Solanum lycopersicum: one gene and its partners. The protein of the gene in region 2 interacts with the protein of the main gene of each other region in a pairwise test. Links are inferred from orthologs where the notes say so. Each region holds a gene or a part of one and is shown on either strand. Other genes may lie near its edges.

Region 1 (7,761 bases), on a different chromosome or scaffold from region 2:
ATCTTTCCTATAGTGATTATAAGAGAGAGAGAACTAAATGCAAAGGATAAATGACCCAGATCCATCCCGTGAATGAAGCAAAAGGTTGCAATCATTTCAAAATAATAAATGGTATATCGCCTCTAAGCCATGAGTCAGAAAAGATGAAAAGAGTTCCTAACACTACAGCAAAGCATATTTCGATTAATCAGCAATACAAAGAAGAAAAGGAAGTAAATAGGCAACCTGGGCGTATATTTCACTTTTCTGGCCCGGATTAACTGAAAGTTGAGGCTGAGTTTGAAATGCCAAACCAAGTCCTTCAATTGCACACTGAAAGAATCAAAATAATAAATGGCACATCCCAAGACATCAAAAGAAAACTGAGGTAAATAAGGTACACTAACATAGCAAGCTTATAAAATCTTACTAGTTCTCTTAGGGCGCCAACTGAACCCACTGACTTCTTAAAAACCTCAAGCCTTGGATCCAACACTCTGGGAGGCTCTGATGCAAAAGAATGTGAGACACGATCTTGATACCCAAAAGGACTCATGTTCTCAACAAACCCATTATCACTTGCATTTGGAAACCTAAATCCATCACCCTGAGTGGAACTGGAATCAGCTTTGATACATGACAAGTATTTGTCTGTAAAAGCAACATGAAAATGTCAAAATCATCAATCTTATTTGGAAACATAACATTTGACCCGATGGACATCTAAAATTCATGGATATTGCAAATGGTTTGCTAATAAGAAAATATTCCTCTGATTTGCCAACAAGCACACTATATAAGACTTGTGTAGTGCTTATTCAGCAAGAACAATGATAACTATTTACCCCCCATCCTCTCCAACCACAGTATATCGTGGCTAAGTCATATCAATACCAAATTAGGCCAAAATTAGATACCTGTCATCTCTCTAAAGAGTTCCTTAACACAAGGATTAAACAATTAACATCAACATTAAAATTCTCAAGAGTCCTACGTGAAGTAATGTGATCACCAACTATTCTGCCCAAAAAAGAAATGTCCTCCTCTTTCTGAACCCTTTTCCAGGAAAGGGACTGGTCAACAAAACCCCACACATTATTTTTACAATATTCTACTGAAGCATTATGCACACAACTAGAAGGATGACTCCTTGAAAAGAAGAAAAAAGCAGCATCTATGCAAATAATGCAAAACCTCTTTTTTTTATTATTATTATTTTGGTTAGGAGGGGGGAACGGTGTGAGGCCCATTTACAAGTGATGAAGGCCAATCCAACTGATTTTATATATATATATATATATATATATATATATACATATATATACACACACACACACACATATATATACACACACACACACATATATATATACACACAAAAAAATGTACATAAATTGGAGTAACAACCCAACAAACTACTATTTATTTTTGATACAGACAACTCAAACGCAGAACTAAGTAGAGCAGGAAAAGTTGAACTTCACAGAAGCATGAAAGCCTTTTAGCTTGACTCTTATCACTCCTAAGAGTTTTTCAAACTTACTCTCAAAATTTAAATAATTTTCCCAATAGATGAAACAAAATTCACCACTGAAAGATGTCACAGTCAAGTGGAATAAGATCCACTTAACTCAAATTCAGCATAAAATCATCTTAAAGACTGCACAGGAATACTCACAACTCCAAGTGCCAACAACATCAGTTCATAACTTCACTCTATCACCAGGTTTGCTCAAAGAACACTCTATAACCGTGGAAGTGCATGTAGGTTAAGCTAATACAAGGTGATGAAATCTAATCACAGTAAAGCCAACCTTTGAAAAGTCAGATCATTTCCTACAGTAAATTATGACACAACACAACAAACTTACCGGCCAGATACATAAGAGATTCCTCAGCAGCATGTCGTTGCGCTTCCCTTCTCGTCCGGCCGATTCCTTCTCCAACCTTTTCTCCTGCAAACAACACCTATACAAGCAATACAAACTATGACTCAATAAGATGGATAGACCTCAGTAAAAAAGATTGCAGAAAATCAGATAGGGAGCTTGTCCAACAACACAAAAGAAGTGTTGACATTCATGCTACTAAAACATGGCTTGACAGAGCTCACAGGCAAGACAGAAACAAGGCCCATAAGACTATTGTGGTACATTCTTCATTAAGTAAAGGTGAGACTTAAAGCTCATTGGAATAGTAGAACTAGGATATATGTAATCAGCATACCTCCAAGCAGAACTGCAGTTCTGGACTCGAAAGAAAACTTGATCTGAATTCGACCTGCATGTATTTTCCATAAGCATTCAGAGAAATCACAAATAGAAGGGAGGAAACTTTACATTAGTGCTGCCTGATGACTGGACATAGGGGAAGCACTACCTTCACTCCACACTTGAATGCAATATCTTGTAAAGCTCCAGCAGGTGTATCTAGATATGGATCATAATGTCCAGGATCAAGGTCAAGAACCCTGTTGCTGGAAGATGACCGACCCAAGGAAACATCCTCACCTGTGAAACTAGAACTTTTTAACACCATTTCTGAATAGAGATTTAGCTTGTCTCATATTTTTCGTCCAGTGACATCACATAGTTGCATAACAGACCTGTTATTTGCTTTTTCTTTTTTAAAGTCTCATGTGTTTGTTTTATAAGAATATAAAGTGTAGTTATTTAGCTTGTACACATTAAAAAACACTTTTATTTTGATCAACACTGAGATATTATATTCATCGTCTGTGAGGATTCATGTAACTGACCCCATCAGGGCCAGCTTGTGCACATCATGACTAATCCCATGGAGTACCTGCTAACTCCCACCATCACAGGTACAAGGTAACTTTGTCCATCAAGACTTGGACAAGGCATGGTCATTGTATAAACCTAAGCAGAAAGATGCATGCCAAAATGCACTCCTAAAACCAAAATCACATTTGCTTTCATAATAAAAGAAGAAACCTGGGAGGGGGCTGAGGCTAACAAAAGCACTCAACATGAGCCCATACTGCTTAGTTTTGTTTCTCTGGGTGTTAAAAGAGGTCCATACTCCAAAAAATTGTAATATTGTAGGGTAACCTATTTTTGTCCTCTTTTCAGCAGTTCCCACTTCTGAGTTCTGACAAGGATTATAAACTATAGCATCTATTACTGCAAAATTTCAAGTACTTAACAAGCTTTCTGAAAGCAACTTAAAGGAAAAGTGAAAACTAAGAAACAGTTTTTGGTCAACATATGTACCAATCAGAAACCATCTTAAGTTAAAGAATCAAAATGCTTAAGCTTTTACATAACAGTTCTCAAGCGTGGTTCATGGCCATACCTGGTGGGCGAAAGCTAGGTTGTGATTGGGAAAATCTCATCCTGTCATCCCGAGGGATTACCTGGAAACCAAAATGGAAACAAACCAAAAAGAACAGTTAGGTCATAAGTTACTCGTGATAAATGAATTTTCAAAGCTGTTGGCATTAACAAATAGATAACTCACCTCTTTTGGCAGCCTTTGGTTCTCAAAAAAAACTCTATCAGATGGCATAGAAGTCTCCATTTTGGGAAGAAAAGGTGGATGAGGAGGCCGATGTTTGTTAATATGCATAGACTCTGGATTTAAAGGAAATTCCTTGGGAGGTAAGGGTCGATTAAGTTGCCTAGGGCTCACCTCTTCCTCAGCCGGAAACCAACCATGTGGCTGCACCCGTGGTGGCACAGATACTTGTAATGGAGTCCCAATAGGGAACTTTGGTTCACTTGATACTTGATCTCTCGTGTCTTGACCATGCTGCAATATAAGTAATCTCCTCCTTGTATCAGGATCTAATTCAGATTCTGGTACCTCACCCTCTTCCCTAGCAGGAGAACTTTGCAAGCTTGTATCCTGAGGACTTATTTGAGTCACTGATGATTTAAGTACAGAAGTCACTTGAGGGAGATGTTGAGTAGGAAAAGGCACCACTGGGCCTTGAATGCTTGGTTGTGAAATAACAGGTGGGACAGGGTACTGGAGAGCTGGTACAAGTCTTGGATCCAAATTTGTCATTTGAGAAGGAACACTTGTTGAAGCCAACATTGCTTCCTGAAAGGTCGAGATAACTAAATATTACGCTACAGTATCACAAAGAACACAAGTTCCATTACATGCTAGAAGAAAAGATTACACTGTACAGAGGAATGAATTATCAAGAGAGCAGAATAACCACATCCAGCACTTCTGAACCTCATGAAAAGTGTGGATACACATACCCAAACTGAGTACAAGACTCAAATATAACATTATTGTACCTTCAGTCTTCTTTCAACCTCACTATCAGCCATTCCATCAAATCCAAGTGAATCTTTATTCCCATTTACAGCTGAAGGATCATCCTGACAAGCAAATAATATATTCTCTCATAAATATTCATAATAATTTTTAAATTGGTGCAAAATTTTATCATCCATATTGTAGATAATCATAAAAACTAAGATCTGTCAAGAGAAATGGAAACTTTTAGACATCATCCTCACTAACCTCCGAAATCAAATAGTTGCTAACATCGGGAGCAGAAGGAACTTGTTTAATATCATCTTCATATGCAACTTCAGATATTCGCTGTAATAGGCCTTCATCAAAATCTCTGCATAAAGTCAGACCAAGTAAATCTAATTTAGATAAGAAACTAACCCCAAGAGACGACCAAATCTAAATAAAATAAGATAAAATAAGTTGGACAATAAAGATTATTGGCACCAGGTAATCTCCTAAAATCTTACTTGAAAAAACCACCTCTAACATTGCAGGCTACATTTCTGGCAACACAAAGAACAGGAACAGAATTGTTGCCCTACAGTAAAATTATTCAAGTACTTCAGAATGTTAACATATGATATAGTTCAACATCTCATAGAAACACTAAGAGAATGTGGTACATACTTCAGCTTGAGGGGCAAAATATGGAGCAAATGCAGGAACAACGTGCACTCGAGGTTGATCCTTATCATCCCACACTTTCAAGCGATCATCAATCACCAATGCCATCTTAGGATGACAATTTCCATCTTGGAATACATTGAACAAAGATTTCCTCAAGCCTACAAAATAATCATGAAAAGTCAGTGATTAGAGAGAAAAAGAACAATGCACTAGCGAAAGTTTTGTAATTTAGAAACTTGCCAGACTTGACACAGACAATACGATCCAAGAGTTCTTGTGAGTTAATCAAGTTTGAATCTGGATCAAGAAGGCGCCACATTTCTAAAGCATAATCTCTTTCAGCCATTGTGCACACATAAACTTCAAAGCGCTTCCGACCCCTTGCAGTCAGATAGCTGCGGAGATCCTCCCAAGCAGGTCTCAATCTCACAAGAACACTAGTATCACGGATCTGCCATGGAAAGAATATGTGATGCATCCCCCCAAAAAAAGTATGATAAAGCTACAGACCATAAAACAGTTTAATGCAAAAGAGGAAGGGGAGAAAGAAATGGATAGTCCTATCACTGAACCCCTTTCAACAGTAAACGTAAGACTACAAATGACTTGCATTCCTCATCTGGCTGTCAACTAGTCATCAGTGGACCATAAATGACACGATTAACAAAACAGGGATAACATGGTATAGACGATAGAGTACAAAGTCCACATACCATTGGATTAATACGAGTAAGAATAATGTTTCTATCTTGCAACCTAATCAGGGGTCTGACAATAGGTTGGTGATTATCAGACAATGCGGGGAAAACCTCAGACTGAGATCTGATCACCTTTCCATTGTCAACAACCTGATCATTTTCGGCATATTGCTTTAAAATAATTTTATCCTCCTGGTAACGCTTGACCTCAGCCAGCATAACAGAGGCACGTTGCGGATCTGACTCTGAATTTATTTTCCGCTGCAAGGCCTCTATTCTATCCTCAAATGAACGCATTGTGTTGGCAACTATGAGTGTCTCATCAAGATCAAATACAATGCCAAGACACCTGAGGTTTAGCATTGTTAGACAAGAATCATAAAGCCCTGATGCAACCTTAAATCCCCAAAAGCAAGGACATTGTCCGCCAATATTCTTAGACTGCATGGCGACTAAATGAAGTTCCTCTCTTCCAAGTGACATCACTGCAGTCTGCATTAAAAAAATACACGGTAATAACTTTGATAAGCAAGCAATTGACATTTGATAGGGAGACAACGAGAAAGAGCCAAAATAAATACCACATATCAGAGGAAAGACCTCTCAAAAATCTAAGCTACAAATGATACATTTGCAGACGACATGGAAGATGTATTTGTGAAAAGCTTTCAGAATGTTTGTCTATTTGCAACAATTTGAATAGACCTTTTTATATATGTATAGGAACAATTAGAGTAGACCTTCTACATTCAAAAAATAAACAAAATAGACTTTTTATGTTCATCATATCAGAAAGCTATCAATTGTAAAAGAGCTTCAAATACTCTTCGAGTCCTCTTTCAAGTATAGACCCCTGAAGCAAGAATCCCAACCTGATATTTACAAAACAAATGCAGGAATAGAAGTAATCTACATTAGATTCACTAGTTCTTAAAAGAAACCTCAGCTTGACAAGAAATACAAGGACAGATTGCTACTTAAACTAAGTTGCTCGGACTCCGGTGCTGATCTAGAGGTCCAATTCATCATGATCTAAATTTTGAGATTCGATGATAGGGATATAGGTATGGATACGAATGCGGTGGTTCGACTAAAAATAATTCAAATATTTAAAAGTAGAGTTATAAAACCTAAATTAGGATGTAGTATGTGGGAAAGCTTGAGGAGAGAATATCGATAAGAGGGAAATCCGGAAAGAGCTAAAAGGAAATTTCTATATACAAGGTATTTGATTTTCTTCAAATTCACCTTAACTTTTGTTTAGATTAAATAAATAAATCAATAAATCTATCCGGCATTCCTTCTTCGAATATGGTCTAAGTACCAAAATAGATTGACCATACAGGGTACGGATACCACACCCATGTCGTGTCAACACGTGTGCGGCACCTAAAGTGAAGAGCCCGAGCAACTTAGTCTTCAACAGAACCCTGTAATAGAACCCTATCCATCAGTCCATCCCTTTCTCAACTTCACACTGCAGTAGACAGCAAAAGGCTCAATCTTTCAGCATCCCATTAATTTACAGAAAAAGAAAAGCATTAAAGTCACCAAGTTCATTGAGTTCCCATATATGTAGGTCTCACATTTTAAACAAATCTGCAAAGAATTCTGTGAACTTCCAGGGACAGTATTAGTCTAAAGTCCAAAATTTTCAAAATAAAAAAAAAAAGGAACAACCCAAACGAGCAACTGCCACATCAATTATTTGGTCATCATCCATTTTATCCAGAGTCCAGTTCTTAAAAATAGTTAGGATTTTAATTTTTTTTTTTTTAGTGTAGAATCAAGAGTTTGATTCTTAAAATTCAGGTTACGTTTCCTCTGGATATTAATTACTTGTTTCATGAACTAGGTTTATTTCTCATAATTAGCCAGTCCTGGAAATGATTCGATTAGTTTTATCTTAATTTCTTTTAATTATCTCAAGTTCAAGTTCGTTACTGTCAATTCAGCAATTTGGGGTATACCTTGTTATCTCTGAGACATGTGGAATGCAAAAGAGTGAGCGGCGAGTCTTGGGTCAGCGGCTTTGATTTTGTAGGTTCCAATTTGAAGCTTAATCCAGTAGTAACTGTGTGTAGCACTGCCAGTGGTGGACATCTCTCACTTGACGGCGAATAGTGAGATATCCTTATTAACTTCTCCCCCCATACCACACCCTTCTCACCGTACATTT
Region 2 (8,287 bases):
AGACCATCAAAAAGTTCAAATATGAACATTTCTCCCTCCAGTTTGTTGAAGACATGAGTGGGTTTTAGGGGAACCATCTAAGAAAACAAAATGAAACAAATCCTATAGAGCAACGAATATTTACATAAAGCACCCCAAAAACACATATTACTCAAATAGAAGTTAAGACTTTACAAAGCAGAAACACTACACATTTAACACGCCCACTGATAGCAGATACTCCATGAGAGTAAAATATAAATGAGACTGACCTCCTCCTCGATAGCCACCAGACGAGCGTCCTGCAAATCGTCCATGATGCCTCTCATCAGGATAACCAGGTCTACCCCCCATCTCACGGTCATAACCTCCTTGATGGTCATAACCATATCTGCAATATCAAGAAGATTTCGTAAGCACCATCATAAGAACACTTGCAAGATAATTTGACAACAGAAAAGATCAGATTTGTAAATGCAAAAAAATTGCAAGACAAGAATTATGCAAAAGGACAAATGCCATAAAAGCATGAATAATAAAGAAAACACAATGAATGATGCTACTTTGGACGACTAGAGAAGTGTGCAAATAAAGACAAGAAAAAGAGGCAGAAATTCGTTAGTTTCCTCAGGTATATTTTTGTTCTTATTTAACAAATAAACGGCTGATCGTGCTTTTATCTGTTCTAATCTGTGCATGTCATTCTTTAGTAAGGACTCCCTTGCACAAAATAGACTTGACAGTAATTGAGAAGTGCAACTCAAAAGGTCAATACACTGTTGGGAAATGGATATGTTTGCAGTTCGCCAGAATAAAGATGTTCACCATTGATGTGATCCTGAATAAGTTTAATGACCTCTGGTCATGGAAGCTGATACAGAAAACTGAATTGCCCACCAAGGTTATATGCTTCAATTTGGACTATTCTAACTGGGTCATGTTTAACACAAGACACCCTCACAGAAAAGGCTTCCAGCAGTCAACCTCCTGGAGAGTGTCAGTCGCTTCTTTCCTACATTGTTCAGTGGCCACTGAACTGCAGAATATGTTTTACTGTATTTTTGGTTTGAATTGGGTCATGCCACATCATATGAGAGAGACTTATAAAAGAAGAAGTTCACAGAGAGTTGAGAAGCCCATCAAGAACATTTAGTTGATGATTCCTGTAGTTATTTTTTGGTGTTTGTGGAGCGAAAAGAACCAAACGTGATCTTATGAAATTCTCAACTCCAAATGACACTCTCAAGGAAAAATGTTGCTTATCCTTTTTAGCTGGTTAAGTTAACACCTGTAATTAGCAGTTGCTGATATTAGAACTTTCTTAGCTCCCTAGAATGGACTGACACACTGTAACGAGGATAACAAACTCTTTGATATGTACTTTTCTATTTCTGTTTTTGTGATTATGCATCTTCTTGATGGTTCTTCAATTGAAATACCACTACTTCATCAAAAAATTATCACCATATGTCATTGGATGCAAGAACTCACTACAGAGTAAGCTAGAAAAATACAAATATCTTTAGATAACAGTTTTTTGTGTTCATATTGGATTTCTCTAACATCAGGAAACTTGCACCAACATATCAAAGGTTGCTTGATAGATCTAACACACTCCGTAATCTCTAATCTAATGTTTAGAAACCTAAGAAAGTGAATGATTTTAGCTTCAGAATAAAAGTTGGTAAGTTAAAATGAAGTCGAACAATTACGCTATGAAGGTTATAAGGTGATTCTAAGATTGTTCTGCAACTCTTCAGGTATACAGCAAAATAATACCATGGTTCCTAGATTCTACAGAGGTGAAATAACAGCTTGTAGAATCTATTTTCCTGATCACCAGTGGTCTGAGTGAGAATTCCTAACCGTAACATCAACTAATTTTCTTGAAAGCTGCAGCGGACCTAAAAAATTTTATCGGATTTCCATTTGCTCCTCAATAATATAAATTGGAGGATTTCACGCATAACTTACAGTCCATATAATCCTTTTATTTCCTACGATTACTCTGTCATCACTGATCTCTGGTCATAGGGTTTCCAAATGAGTGTTGATTATTGTCTACATTTTATAAAGCTTAGCACTAGAAATAACTTAACCCAGGCTGTTTTCTGTTCACTAGAGTATGCAGCAACATATTTTTTACTGACAAATCCTGTTAGACAGCACTGTGTTAAATGCAAGTAGAGTATTAAGAACTCCAAAAAAAAATTTTAAAAAAAAAAACAGCAATTCATATTCCCAAAGGCGTGGATGGTACTCCTTCATGTAATTATGCGAACAATTACGTGATCCTAAATACTTCTGAAGCTGTATCAGTACACCATGTTAACTGGTCAAAAGCAGCTTGTTTACAGTTAATTCAGTCCAGAATATGCAGGTTTTGGCTACCAATCTTGCATGTCAAATAGAAAGTCTCCCCACAGAGTACTTGGGGATGACTTAAGGGGCAAAACAGGTAGCAGATTCTATTTGGCATGGTGTTATAAGGAAATGTGAAAAGACATTGGCTAACTGGAAGAGACAATACCTCTCTCTTTGGGTCACTTAATTCCATGACATCTTATATTATGTCTCTTTGTCCAATACCCATCAGGGTAGAAAAAGTTCAAGAACTTCCTCCAAGTCGAATGGAGTACCGTCACATCAATCAAGAAAAAAAGGGAGGAATGGAAGAAGATTAGGGATCAAGAACTTGAGGACACAAAACACGAGCCTTTCGATGAGATGGTTATGCAGATTTAATTTGGAAGACAGTGCACTAGGGAAGAGGGTAACCGCATTGAAACATTTTCAATTGAATGAATGGTATTCAATTATAGGAGGGCCGCCGCAGGCAGACGGACATTGGAAAAATCAGAGCACTATGGCCAGCTTCTCCCAGGGCATTAGCTATCAAGTAGGAAGAAGTATCTCCTCCTTGCTACCATTTTGTGCTTAATACATCCAACTTGATAGCTTCTCAAAAAAAAAACATCCTCCAATTTCATGTTTACATACAATGTTGGCACCTTAATATGTCTGCTAGCATAGACAGACAGAATTGCAGCATCTGTCATCAACATGTCATTGAGCTTGAACTAAACAAAAGGTTTGTCGGTCATCACTAAAGAGTCCATTAGTATTTGAATGAAACAGACACAGTGGGCGGAATAAATGTAGGAAATTGATATAACCAACTTATCTAGTACATGATTAAGGTGTAATCAGATATGAGCATTATACACCATACCAAAACCGGAACCTCAGAGAAGCTACATTTTTCAAAAAATATGTGCATTATGGGAAGGACCAAAACTGGTACCTCACAGAAGCTAACTTCTTCAGCTTACACCACTGTTCTAATAGTACTGAACCCTCAAAAAGCCCAAACATAACCTTTGTCAGCACCTAAACATTCTCATAGCAATTTCTTAGGGGAAATGGGTAATGCCCTGGAAAGTGTACTGTATTGCTGTTGCATATACTAATCCAACACACTAATGGACCAACAAATGCTATATTTCACCATATTTATTATAGTATATAAGTTCTTACTACTCCTTTCTTTCACTACCCAGGTCCCAGAAATCTACTATTTTTCAGCTTGAATTATATAGTAAATAAGTTCTTCCTACTCCTTCCTTTCATCACCCAGGTCCCAAAAATCTACTATTATTCAGCTTAAAACAAGGTGAATCATGAGTCTGCGCGTCTGCCATCCTCCACTTAATTATTTATGTAATCCTACTACATAGCCATAACATGCCTCAGTAACAACCTAACTGCGGCCATCCATAAGAAATCCCACTGATTGGCTAAACAGACTGATAATCGAAGATTTATAAGAGAATTTCCAATCATATGCGGAGAAAAAGCTTCGTAATTTACCTTCGATCACCATGCCCAAAACCACCTCTAGGACTTCCACGGCGTCCATCATAGTCATCTCTACGAGAACGCTTATAAGGTGGAAATGGAGGCGAACGACGGTGAGGAGGAGAATATCCACCACGTCGGTCACGATAAGGAGGAAGAGGAGGAGGAGGGCTATGGCTAGGCCTTCCACGTTTGTAGTCACGCTCTCGACCAGGAGGATGATGAGGAGGAGAACGATTACGATCGTAATAGTCCCCACGACCACCTCTACGATCAAAATCCCTGTCATCCCTCCGTTCCCGTGAATCTCTATCACGGCCACGCCTCGACGGCGGAGGAGGAGGAGGCGGTGGTGGAGAAGATACCGGTGGCTCTTCCGTCGACTTGTTTGGATTTTCCTTGCTTCGTTCACGGCGGCGTTCTAAACCTTCCGACGGAGCGTCCATTACTTCAGCCATGGGCGGCGACGGTGGCGGTGAATCGTCGGGAAGAGAAACCCTAGCTGAGAGTGCAGTGTTTGTTTGTAGATGTGGAAATTAAGAGTGACAAATGGAGAATAAAAGATTGGTGAGGGAGTGGAAAGTAAATAAGATTTTTGAGTTTTAAGGAGATAAAAGGTTTTCATTTACAACCCCAAAAGTATTCTTCAATTACTTAATTTCCCCACAAAAAGAAGATTTTGATTTTTAACTCCACTAACTTTTTCTATTTCACTTCTACTATACAAATTTTATCCTCCATTTCCGAGTGTTTTGATAAATTTTAAAAATCTTTAAAAATAACATAGTTATAAGTTTTTTTTTTAAAAAAAAAAGGGTCATTTGTGTGTGTATGTGTTTGCGTGTATGTGCGCGTGGGTGAGTGTGCGCGAATATACGCGTACGTGTACATGTGGGTGTCTGCGCGTGTGGGTATTTATACCAAAAATAACATAAATTGTATTTAGGAGATCTAAACATATTTGAATGTGAATGAACATTTGAGAAACATGTAGTTTTTTACGAAGACACTTGTGAATCCATTTATGTGAAACAAAAATTTCTTTCTTCTGCTTTGTCTAAAAACCTTTAAGGTGTGTTTGGAAAATCAGCTTGCTAGCTGATTTGATATAATTGAGTGCAATTACATTGTATGGCATGTTTGGTTGGTCATCTATTTAATTACTTGGTCAGCAGGTAATTGAGCGTAATTGACAGAGATAATTACATTATTTTAATCATAGAGGAGTTGCGAATTGCTGATAATAATTAAATGGTGTAATTATAAGTTGATTATTTCTTCCTTATATTTCTAATTTTTTTCGTTTAAATTTATTTTTTATTTTATTATTTTAAATTCTTTTTTATTTTTATTAATATTCTAATTGTTTTCTAAAAATATACATTTATATTTTATACTATCTATATTTCATTTCCTTCTCATTATCAATCATTACTTCATATGATTTCATATAATTTTTCGTATTATCTATAAGAATTTTTTATCAGTATAATTTTGTTAGTATTTTAATTTTTAAATTAGAGTAGAATTTATTGTTGAATAAGGTTATGAACTTATATTTTTTTTTTTTTAAATCATGTTGAGGTATGTTATGTTGGAATTTGATATAAGAGTATTACATTAAATTTTTTGTTTTAAATTTATAACTTATGTTATATTTTCAATTTCATTTGTTTTAGAAGTATTGACCAGATATTTTATGTTGCATACTATTTTTTTTAGTTAGACTTGATAGATTATCTTTCTGTTAAATGTTTTTATAATTTTATGATATTATATTTATAATATTAATCTTTTTGTCAAACACGCATTTCATGATGTGCTTTTAACTTTAATAATTAATTTAATTAAAATATACTAAATAAAAAATATAAATAATTTATTTTTTATAATATTAATTAAGAACATACGTTTATTAATTAATATATTTTCAAAAGGCTATACATATCTCAAATATAATATTTAATATCATTAACAAAGATCTTTAATTATTTGTCTTATATGAATCTTGCTAAATTATTTATAAATGCTTTTAGTTTGTGTTAACTTAGATACGATACCTAATTATAAAGTTCACTAGCTCGAGTTGGATCTATGAATCCAATATCTCAATTTCACAATCATGTCCTAACTAGTTAGAGTTGGCTATATAATACAATTATTTCAATTTCACTGTTTTCAGGTCTATTTTAAATCTTGTTGATAATGAAATTTTATTAATAAATTTATATTAAATCTTAAATTTATCATAGAAAGTAAAATTATTGGTTAATAAAGTTAAATTAATATTTAATTTAAAATTATATGACTTAAATCAAGTGCAAATTATATTTGGACCAATATATCAAGTTGACAAAATGAGCTCAAATACTCATGTTCTTCAAGCCAAAGGGCCAAAATTGTTTGGACCAAAATATCTCCAAAACTCTAGTTCAAACATATATAAAGAGGTCTCTATAAGACTCTGCAAGTCTGCTTCAAATGTTGAGCCGCAAGTATTTCATCAAGTCAAAAACAATTCTGAAGAAAAGAATTAGGGAATCACATATGTTTTCTTAAAGATTTTATAAAGATGGCAGCCTTCACATAAATTTAAATACAAATACTATTGTTGCTTGTTGTTTTCCTTTCATGTTTGTTGTAATTCATGATCGAAATTTTAATGCATAATATTCAATAATAGAAAATCTGAAACTATAAGCTTTTGTTTAGATGTTAATTTTGGGATTAATGTCTCCTAATTTCTTTTGATTGTTGAGATAACATGAAGAGACATTGATAAAATTTATTTTGCATACAATTGAAACAAAGTAAAATGTATGTATATTGCATAATTATAAGTGTATAGGAAAAAGATATATGTTTTTCTCTCGCTTTATACAAAAACAGAAACACAATATATACACTTCTGTTGTATAAAGCGAGAGAAAATTGTATTTCACTACAATTGTATAATTCGCTGGCCTTTTTCGCTGCAATATTTGTATAAAATTTGCATTTGTCTACAATTGAATTGAAGTAAAATGTTTGTAAATTGTATAATTAAGTGTATAGCACGAAAATATATGTTTTTGCATGTGTATATACAATTTTTTCCCGCTTCATACAAAACAGAAACACAATTTATACACTTCTGTGTATAAAGCGAGAGAGGCGAGCAGAGGGAGAGTGGCGAACGAGATTTTTGGGAGAGAGGCGACTGACAAACTTTGGCGAACGTTTGCTATGGAGCATAATTAAATTAAACCGTAGTTACTCCATTTATTTTAGGTTATTAGTTTGCTATTATATACAATTATCCCTTATTTTTATCCATTCCATGTAAAAGTGTTTGCATTTCAATCTTATAATACCTAAAATATTTGAACGTGTTTATTTGTTACATTCTTTGGACAATTTCAATATCTAGTGATGCACAATTAAAATTAAAATTTATAGATATCAAGTATAGCCAAATAAAAAAAAATTATTTATGGAAGAATTATGGAATAAGTAAAAAATTTAACTCATTTATGAAAAGATAGAATTAGTTCAAAAATATTACAAAAGAAAAAAAACAATAACAACAATATATTGTTTTTATAACAACCTCTCTCTCCAATTGTATTCAATTAAATATATATACAAGCTTTGAATCTTATTTTAATTGTTTTTGAAAAATTGTATTTTGTATTTTTTGTATCAATTGTATTTGTAATCATACGAAATACAATATGAATTCATTCTCTCTTTCAAAATGTATTTGTATTCAAACAAAGAGAGGATGCATACAATTGTATTCGTTGTGTTCCAAATACAATTGATACAAAACAAATACAAAATACAATCCACTGGCCTCCCTCCCTCGATCTCACTCGCTTCTCTCCTCCCTATTTCGATCTCGTTCACCTCTCTCCTTTTAATATGTACTCATTTTTGATATAATCAATTTGTAGATGTATTTTTTTCTACTAAATCTGCGAATAAATACACTCTCTCTCAGATCTAGCGTCTTTACTCCCCTAATATTTTGCTATTAATCGTAATTGAATAAACTATAACTATAGAACCCTGTTTAATGCATAACGTTTGTTATTTTTGAAAGTTTTCTATTATTTATTATTTCTAAATTTTGTATTTTCATAAAAAAGATTATTTCCGTTAAAAGATAAAAATTAAAGACTAACGCAAAATAAGGAAAAAATGTGTTGGGTTGATAAAATATGGGCCGGGTATTACTATGGCAATTTGGGCTTTTAAGTCTTCAAACCCAAACCCTAGAGTACTTCATCAGCTTATATATTGCAAACCTCTTCACACATTTCTGGGTTCGTTCGCCGCCGTCGACGTAATTTGCTTCTTCAAATCCTCCATCTCCGACGTTGTTCTTTCTCACCGGAATCCACGATGGTGGCTGCAAAGAAGACCGTAAGTATCTCATTCTTCGTTCAATCGATTTGTGTGGACGAAT
Region 3 (8,378 bases), about 79 Mb from region 2:
GCTATGCACGTGTTGAAAAACTAGTTGTATTTAAAGTTATGATCTCATAAAAAATAATGATTTTTCTTCTTCTTCTTTTGAGTGCGTAGTGTTTGAAATTTATTGTTTCTCTATTTTTGTTGAAGAACGGTGCTCATGTTTGTGGAAACACCTGCCCACAGGGTCCCACCTGCTTTATCCAAAAACGGCTCCTAGCTTGTCGAACTAGCTGGACCCTACCACGAGATACACGACAATCATATATATTAAATCGATAAATTTGAAACAAAAGAAGTTGCTCATTGAGAATTTTCTAAATTGACAATCACGTGTTACATACGTGTTGAAAAACTAGTTATATTTTAAGTTATGATATCATCAGAAATTAATGATTTTTCTTCTTCTTCTTCTTTTGAATGTGTAGTGTTTGGAATCTATTGCTTCTTTATTTTAGTTGAAGAACGGTGCTCGTATTTGTGGAGATGTCCGCCCATAGGGCCCCAACTGCTTTATCCTAAAACGACTCACAAGCTAATCGATATAGTTGGACCTCATTACAGGATACATGACAATCATATATATTAAATCGATAAGTTTCAAACAAAAGAAATTGCTCATTGAGAATTTTTTGAATTGACAATTGACAATCACGTGCAACACACGTGTTGAAAAACTAGTTATATTTAAAGTTATTATATTATCAGAAATAATGATTTTTCTTCTTTTGAATGTGTAGTGTTTGGAATCTATTGCTTCTTTATTTTTGTTGAAAAACGGTGCTCGTGTTTGTGGAAATGCATGCCCATAGGGCCCCACCGACTTTATCCAAAAGCTGCTCATTAGCTAGTAGAACTATCAGACCCTACCAATAGATAAACGACAAATACATATATTACATCGATAACTTTCAAACAAAAGAAGTTACTCATCGAAAATCGAAAAAAAATAGAAAACGTGATTGGCCAAGTAGGACAAAGAAAGTCCTCCGACCTGATCGAAGCACCAAAAAGTTTTGAGTACACCTCGATACTACATAACTTAAATAGCTTAAAAGGAAAAAATATCTGAAATATGTCTGAATTTTGATTAGAATTGTTGTTATGATACAAAACTTTGGAAATGATCTTTTGCCCCTTTGCTAATGAATAATGTATTTTAAAGGTATATATGTGTTCGCACGGACATAAAAGATATTGCATAATTATAAACAGTACTATATTCACGTGAGCACATATATATCTTTAAAATATACTATTAAATAGTGAAGGGGTAAAATATTTTTGGAACTCTTTTTCCTTAACTTCAATACCTTAAAATTAGAATCAACCCACTATTAGGGCCCGTTTGGATGGGCTTAATAAAAGCAGCTTTAAAAAAGTACTTTTAAAAGTGCTGAAACTTATTTTAAAAATAAGCAGTTATGTGTTTGGATAAAAGTGCTGAAGTTGTTATGTCAAACGTGAAAAGGGATAAATGGAAGAAAGAAATGTTAGGGTTATATGGGTAATTTGGAGATTGTATAAAAATATTAAGCACAAAAAGATAAAAATGTGGTCAACTTAAAACAGCTTATAAGCTAAAAATAAAAAAGCACCCATACCCCAGCTTTTAACTTTTGGCTTAAAATAAGTTTTTTTTAACTTAAAATAAGCTGTTTAGAGTATTGCCAAACAGCTAAATAAGTCAAACACCAGCTTTTAAGTCAGTTTGATCAGCTTTTAAGCTGAGCCAAACAGGCTCTCAGTGTCATAATCCTCACTAGAAAGCTATTTATTTATTTGAGAACTCCTAATATTTGATATCCTTATTTACTTAAAATAATTTATTTTCATTTCTCACGTAATTCAATTAAAATGATATCCAACATATACTTTCCCATCTTGCAAGATAGTCTGTTTTTCTTTTTGATATTTTAAATTATCAAAATAAGTAAATTACAGGTTATTTCCATTTTTAAATTGCTGTACACATATGATAGCCAACATTTGATAATTAAATTAATTACACAAAAATAGTTATGTGTTTCCTAATTAAAAAAACCAATATTATTTACCACTCCACTATTTTTACTTTTTTTTTTTGGTCCTCGTAATTCATATTCATGGATTTAAGTTTGTTTATTTTTGGATATTCCTAGCCACTAAGACATTTTTTTTAGTGTTGATCTTATTTTGATATCAAGATTCAATTAAATTTATATTTGTGCAAGAGTTATTTAAGATATAAGTATATATACGTTTATTTCTAAAAATTCAAACTCAATTCTCTCTTCGTAACTAATCTTATCGACATTATTATTTAATTACAAATGTGGTAAGTTATTATGTCCAATAGAGTAAAATAAAATACGTGTAAATAATCTATTTAGATTTTTAGGATTCAAATATCTCTTTTCACGATTTCCTTTTCATAATTATAGTTGCCAAAACAATATTTATCAATTTATGTGATTTTCTTTTATACATTCATATTTATACAATTCAGACAAAAATCAGTTAAAATTCGAATTGTAAAATTCTGAAGTTATGCTCTATATAATAATTTTTCAAATAAAAAGTCGAATGAATTCCTTTCGCGCATATTTCAATAAATAAATTATTTTACTTTTAATTTAACATTTTTTTATAACATACATAAAATAAAATATATGTTAAAATTAATATTTCTTAAATTGGTATTATTTTTTATTCTTATTATTATTATACTAAAAAGAGACTGAAAATGCAAAGCCAAATAGGAATATCCGTCGACACACGTTATTACGTAATCAGATTTCCATATATTATAAAATGTTGGTATTTTGGTAAATATTACGTTTTCTGAGGTTAAATGAATTCCACTAACCTAACCTCTCTATACCTTAACCAGCCCTTAACCCAAGGTAAACCCAAGTTGTTGAGCAAAAAGACAACAAAAATTTAAAAGAATCCATACATACAAATTACAAAAATAATTACAAAAACAAAAATGTAACCAGTTCCAAAATAGTATTCAAAATTAATTTAATTGATTATCAACATTAAATTAAATTAAAAATTTAGATATTTAATTTTTTTTTTATAAAAGTACAATAAATTGTAAATTTTCTCCATATCTATATGATAAAAATATACAATATTTATATTATTTGATTTCTTAAAAGAAGAGTGATAAATTTTTTACCAGTCAAAAAATCTTTTATAGCGTTCACATAATTACTTGTAATGTAATAATATAGTCTCACTATAGAAAAATAATCACATCAATTATAAAGGTATTTATTTATTTAAATAATAATGATATCTATTAATCATGATATGATAAAATAATAAATACTTATTATCATGCTATAACAAGTTAAATTACCATATTTTAGATTTTGAGTTTCACAAGCTCATTAATCATCGCACATTTTTCATTTTTCATTTATATTACTTCTTTATATGACTTTTTTAATTTCATATTCATAATATATATGTCAATTTACACGTATATAATTTATTTATTATTGCTCATCAAATACATTAATAGAATCCATTAAAACTTAGATAAATAGAAAACTCTTTTAAGGGGAATATAATTTACAAAAATATTGCAAATTTTTTCACAAAATTAATTTTTTTTTTTCAAATCTCTAAAAATTGTTTGTTGTCATTTTAATGTAATAGGAGTAAAAAAAAAAAAAGGGAAAAAGGAGAAGCACATAGAAATAACAGCTGTTAGGGCTTGGACTAAAAATGCAAACTGCGTGAAAATTCACACATACACACACCAGACAGCATATATAGAGAGAGATTCCGGCAACTTCGGAAGATCGCCGGCGACTTTTCCGATCTTATCATAGGCCCACAGATTCGCGCCAAAATCCATTCACCATTACCCTCAGCAAAATTCTCGGTAGCTTTTTTTATCAAGAAAATAAGGAAATTATACATACAGGAAAAAAGAGAGAAAATTTTTATAGATAAAGTACAGTTGTGTGGGACAGAGAGGTGTAGAGAGTGGTGAGGTAAGGGGGGTGGGTGGTTGATTTGAACCTTGGGGATCGGGGAAAGTGGGAAATCTTGGGTTTTAGGAAACTACAGGGGTTTCCACTGAAATTAATGTTTCATTACTTATTTTCTTGATGATGGGGTTCTGAAATTAATCAATTAAATTTCAGGTGAGTTGCAACATTTTTGGAGGAAATAGAATTTTTTGCTGAATTTTCAAGGGTGCATGCAATCTGGGGGTGGAGCTCAGCAAGGTGGTGTCGCCGGCGCCGGTGGTGGACATGGGCGGAACACGGCGGCATCAGCCTCAGCTTCTCCAACATCATCTTCTTCTGCCTCTCATATGGGGTTGGATCAGCAGCAGCTGCATCAACAGCATCAGCGGCAGGTTAGGGTTAACAACTTTTTTTCTGAATTTTACTTGTGCTTTTGAGGAAGAGGGGGTGTTTCAAGTGGCATTTTGTTTTTTTCTGAAGTAGGATTGATGTTTGTTATTCTATTTTGGAAGTGGGTTTCGCATAAGACATCAAGTTCTTTTTTTTTTTGTATGATGTTGTTCAACACTAGGTTTGAAGTGACATGAATTTGCTTGCTATGTGAAAGACATTCTTTTTCTTGTTCAATTAGCACTGAGATGCCAGCTGCTAAACTACTTAAGCTTTGGAAGTAGGAGGAATTTGAAAATCTTTGTATGAAGGAGAGAGTGATTTGCTTTTTGTAAGAAAGAGCATTTTTTGTGCTGAAAAATGTATTAGCGCTTGTTGATTTTTAGAGTTATCCAAAATTCACTTTTCAGAGAATTAACTCTGTGTATCTTAGTCTTCCCTCTAATGGAAGTGTTAAGTTCCACCAAGTACGTATTGTCTAGCATGTTGTGATTCCTATTTTTCTTTTTCTTGATAGATAGTTCCACCTTTTCTTCCTTATTTTAAGTGCTCGTCTCTGCCAGGTCTTTAATATTTTAACCTTGACCTATTCAAAAGGTTTATATTTCCAACAGTATTGGAAGTTAATGTGATTCTTAGCTGCAATGATGTTCTCAACTCATACCAGATTAACTGTCATTGCTTCGGTTATGGAATGCAATCTTCTATTTCGTCCATCCACATGACACATTTTGTCCATGTGATTCTTAACTGCAATGATGTTCTCAACTCATACCAGATTAACTGTCATTGCTTAGGTTATGGAATGCAAACTTCTTTTTCGTTCATACATGATATGACACATTTTTTCCATGTGATTCTTAACTGCAATGATGTTCTCAACTCATACAAGATTAATTGTCATTTCTTAGGTTATGGAATGCAAACTTCTATTTCGTCCATACATGATATGCCACATTTTGTCCGTGTGATTCTTAACAGCAATGATGTTCTCAACTCATACCAGATTAATTGTCATCTCTTAGGTTATGGAATGCAAACTTCTATTTCGTCCATACGTGATATGCAACATTTTGTCCATGTGATTCTTAACTGCAATGATGTTCTTAACTCATACCAGATTAATTGTCATTTCTTAGGTTATGGAGTGCAAACTTCTATTTCGTCCATACATATGACACATTTTGTCCAAATTTGATACTTAATGATACTCTGAAAAGTTGTAATTGTCCTCATTTCTAAAATTTTACTGTATTTGATTTCTGAGTTGATTATCCTTAACAGGAAACACATTTATTAAAAGTGAACTGAAGAAGACGAATTGCAGCACAGGACGAAATAAGATGTTGCTTAACTAAACCAGAGTATTTTTGTCCAATATGTGCATAGAATGCTGCAAATTTCCCGAGAAATTCTTTCATGCTTTTGACTGGCAGTATTTGTCCTTCAGAATGCTGCAAATTTCCCTAGAAATTCTTTCATGCTTTTGACTGGCAGTATTTAACCTTCAGCATTATCAACTTTGTCAGTCATACCAGTTTCTCTCGAGTTTCTTGTATGCTATATTGTTATAATATTTTTCCATGTACTTTTGTTGCGTTGTTTGCTTCCAACTACTGATGTCTGGAGAGATTGTTGTTCCTTTTTTTAAATTATTTTTGAAACAATATTTTACCAGGTATGTTTTCAAATAAAGTGTCAAAACTTGTTATGTTGAATCATGATAGCTGCTCTTTTCGAACTGATTTGTGTTTAATCTTAGTGTCTTATTATGTTCCCCTGCTGAAAATATCGTGGTGGCTTATTGTCAAAAATAAGGAAGATCACAATAATCTAGGTCTTATTTAAATTACTCACCTTCTTTTATAAATAACTTTTACATATCACTTATCGGATATTCGTTTTGTAGTCATTACAACAACAGTTACTTAGAAGGCCTGAAGGAAACGAAGCTATTCTGGCCTTCCAGACTGGCAGTCCCCATGGAATTTTAGGTGGGGGTAATTTTGTTGGACCTTCTGGATCCATGCAGCTGCCTCAGCAGTCGAGGAGGTATATTGAACAGCATGATTCTCCCACCATTCGAGAGGATGGACAGAACAGGAGCCAGGGCTTTGAGCAACCGATGTTGAGTCCTGTCCAACAGGCATACCTGCAGTATGCTTTCCAGGCAGCACAACAGAAGTCCGCTCTTGGGATGCAACATCAGCAGCAAATGAAAATGGGAATGTTTGGGCCTTCTGCAAAGGACCAAGATCCTAGACTTGCTAATATGAAAATTCAGGAACTCGTTTCCATGCAGGCACCGAACCAGGCCCAAGCATCATCATCAAAGATATCCTCTGAGCAACTTTTCTCTCGTAGCGAGAAACAATCAGACCAGGGACAGCAGTTTATGACCGATCAGAGGCCAGACCCAAAGCTTCCTTCCCAGCCAACATTGCTTGGCCAAACGGTAGCTACGAAGCCCATGCAGGCGCCACCATCTCAGCAAAGCATGGCGAACATGGCGAGTAACTCTCTTGCTATGGCTGCACAGATGCAGGCAATGCAGGCAATGCAGGCTCTGGCTTATGAACGTAATGTTGATCTGTCACTACCTGCAAATGCTAACATTATGCAACAGCTAATTCCGCTCATGCAGTCCAGAATGATTGCCCAGCAGAAAGTGCCTGAAAACAATGTGCCAGTTCAATCTTCATCAGGTCATATGCCAAAGCAGCAAGTTTCATCACCTCAAGTTGCAAATGACAGTTCGCCCCATGCTCATTCTTCAAGTGATTTGTCGGGGTCAAGTTCTGCTAAAACTAGGCAGGCTGTTACAACTGGTCCTCTCACTGCGTCTCATAGTGTAGCTTCAGTGAATAACCCAAATAATATTCCTCAGCAGCAGTTTTCTGCTCATGGCAGAGAGAACAATTTGCCTCCTAGACAACCAATTATGGCTAGCAGTGGATTACCTCCGATGCATTACCCACAGTCATCTGTAAACCCAAACCAGGGTGCGGATAACACCTCGCTGCCTAAACCCGCCTCTAATGCCCAAGAAATCTTGCAGACGCAGTATGCCAGGCAGTTGAGTCGACCTTCATCACATTCTGCAGCTTCTTCTCCAGATGGGAACTCGGGGAATCCCCTTATGTCTCAGGGTGGAAATGTCCGTCAGGTGCAACCACAACTGGGTTTCAGTAAGCAGCAACTGCATGTTCTTAAAGCCCAAATACTTGCATTTAGACGTATAAAGGTTTGTACATTACTGTACCTGTCAGGTTTACATACTTTACTTTTCCTTGTTCAAAATACTCAAGTTTGTTATTATTACATATATCTTGATCTTCTTTTTCTTGCTTGTAGAAAGGAGATGGGACATTACCACGTGAATTACTCCAAGCTATAATTCCGCCACCTCTGGATGTGCAAATGCAGCAAACATTTCCACCTGGTGGTATAGTAAATCAGGAGAGAACACCAGGAAAAGGTTCAGAAGATAACAGAAGACCCTCGGAACCAAGTGAGAAGGGTCCTCAGCTTGTAGTACCATCTAATGGACCGAATGGTTCAAAGGAGGAGGTCACAAGAGAGGAGAGTACAGCTGCCGCAACCGCAACCGCAACCGCAACCGCACCTGTGCCAGGTAGCACAACTGAGACAAAGGAGAATGCATCAGTGGTTCTTCCTGGAAAAGAGGAGCAGCGAATCATGGGACATACTAGTAAATCTGACCAGGATGCTGATCATGCTATTAAGAACACTACTGGCAGAGGTGATATTGCACCAGATAGGGGTAAAGCTGTTGCATCACAAGTTACTGGTTCTGATACTACTCAGGTGAAAAAAGCTATGCAATCTAGTGCTACTCAACAAAAAGATACGGGCCCAGCTCGAAAGTATCATGGACCATTATTCGATTTTCCTTTCTTCACTCGAAAGCATGATGGTTTTGGACCATCCATGATGATGAACAACAACAATAATTTAACATTGGGTTATGATATCAAGGATCTTCTAATGGAGGAAGGCTCAGAATTTCACAAGAGAAAAA

Evidence for each region.
Region 1: the proteins of serrate RNA effector molecule (region 2) and RNA polymerase II C-terminal domain phosphatase-like 1 interact in binary tests that used the Arabidopsis thaliana proteins (3 or more experiments, as listed by UniProt). The link is inferred for Solanum lycopersicum from reciprocal best matches to the Arabidopsis thaliana genes SE and CPL1.
Region 3: the proteins of serrate RNA effector molecule (region 2) and ATP-dependent helicase BRM interact in binary tests that used the Arabidopsis thaliana proteins (3 or more experiments, as listed by UniProt). The link is inferred for Solanum lycopersicum from reciprocal best matches to the Arabidopsis thaliana genes SE and BRM.

The regions. Positions count from the first base shown.
Region 1 is NC_090801.1:59,405,131-59,412,891, forward strand, and holds part of RNA polymerase II C-terminal domain phosphatase-like 1, read right to left. Parts: coding exon 7,553-7,761; intron 7,060-7,552; exon of another isoform or gene 6,831-7,059; intron 6,075-6,830; coding exon 5,598-6,074; intron 5,336-5,597; coding exon 5,125-5,335; intron 5,043-5,124; coding exon 4,885-5,042; intron 4,796-4,884; coding exon 4,725-4,795; intron 4,589-4,724; coding exon 4,483-4,588; intron 4,338-4,482; coding exon 4,254-4,337; intron 4,048-4,253; coding exon 3,463-4,047; intron 3,359-3,462; coding exon 3,298-3,358; intron 2,490-3,297; coding exon 2,359-2,489; intron 2,260-2,358; coding exon 2,206-2,259; intron 1,948-2,205; coding exon 1,851-1,947; intron 631-1,850; coding exon 410-630; intron 313-409; coding exon 226-312; intron 1-225. UniProt on the Arabidopsis thaliana protein: Processively dephosphorylates 'Ser-5' but not 'Ser-2' of the heptad repeats YSPTSPS in the C-terminal domain of the largest RNA polymerase II subunit (RPB1). This promotes the activity of RNA polymerase II.
Region 2 is NC_090800.1:3,476,833-3,485,119, forward strand, and holds the start of serrate RNA effector molecule, read right to left. Parts: upstream 4,630-8,287; 5' UTR 4,296-4,629; coding exon 3,850-4,295; intron 371-3,849; coding exon 252-370; intron 1-251. Other genes in the region: large ribosomal subunit protein eL30, read left to right, coding at 8,224-8,244. UniProt on the Arabidopsis thaliana protein: Acts as a mediator between the cap-binding complex (CBC) and both the pre-mRNA splicing and primary microRNAs (miRNAs) processing machinery.
Region 3 is NC_090800.1:82,010,171-82,018,548, forward strand, and holds the start of ATP-dependent helicase BRM, read left to right. Parts: upstream 1-3,536; 5' UTR 3,537-3,855; exon of another isoform or gene 3,856-3,967; intron 3,968-4,120; 5' UTR 4,121-4,176; coding exon 4,177-4,338; intron 4,339-5,247; exon of another isoform or gene 5,248-6,245; coding exon 6,246-7,580; intron 7,581-7,690; coding exon 7,691-8,378. UniProt on the Arabidopsis thaliana protein: ATPase subunit of a multiprotein complex equivalent of the SWI/SNF complex that acts by remodeling the chromatin by catalyzing an ATP-dependent alteration in the structure of nucleosomal DNA.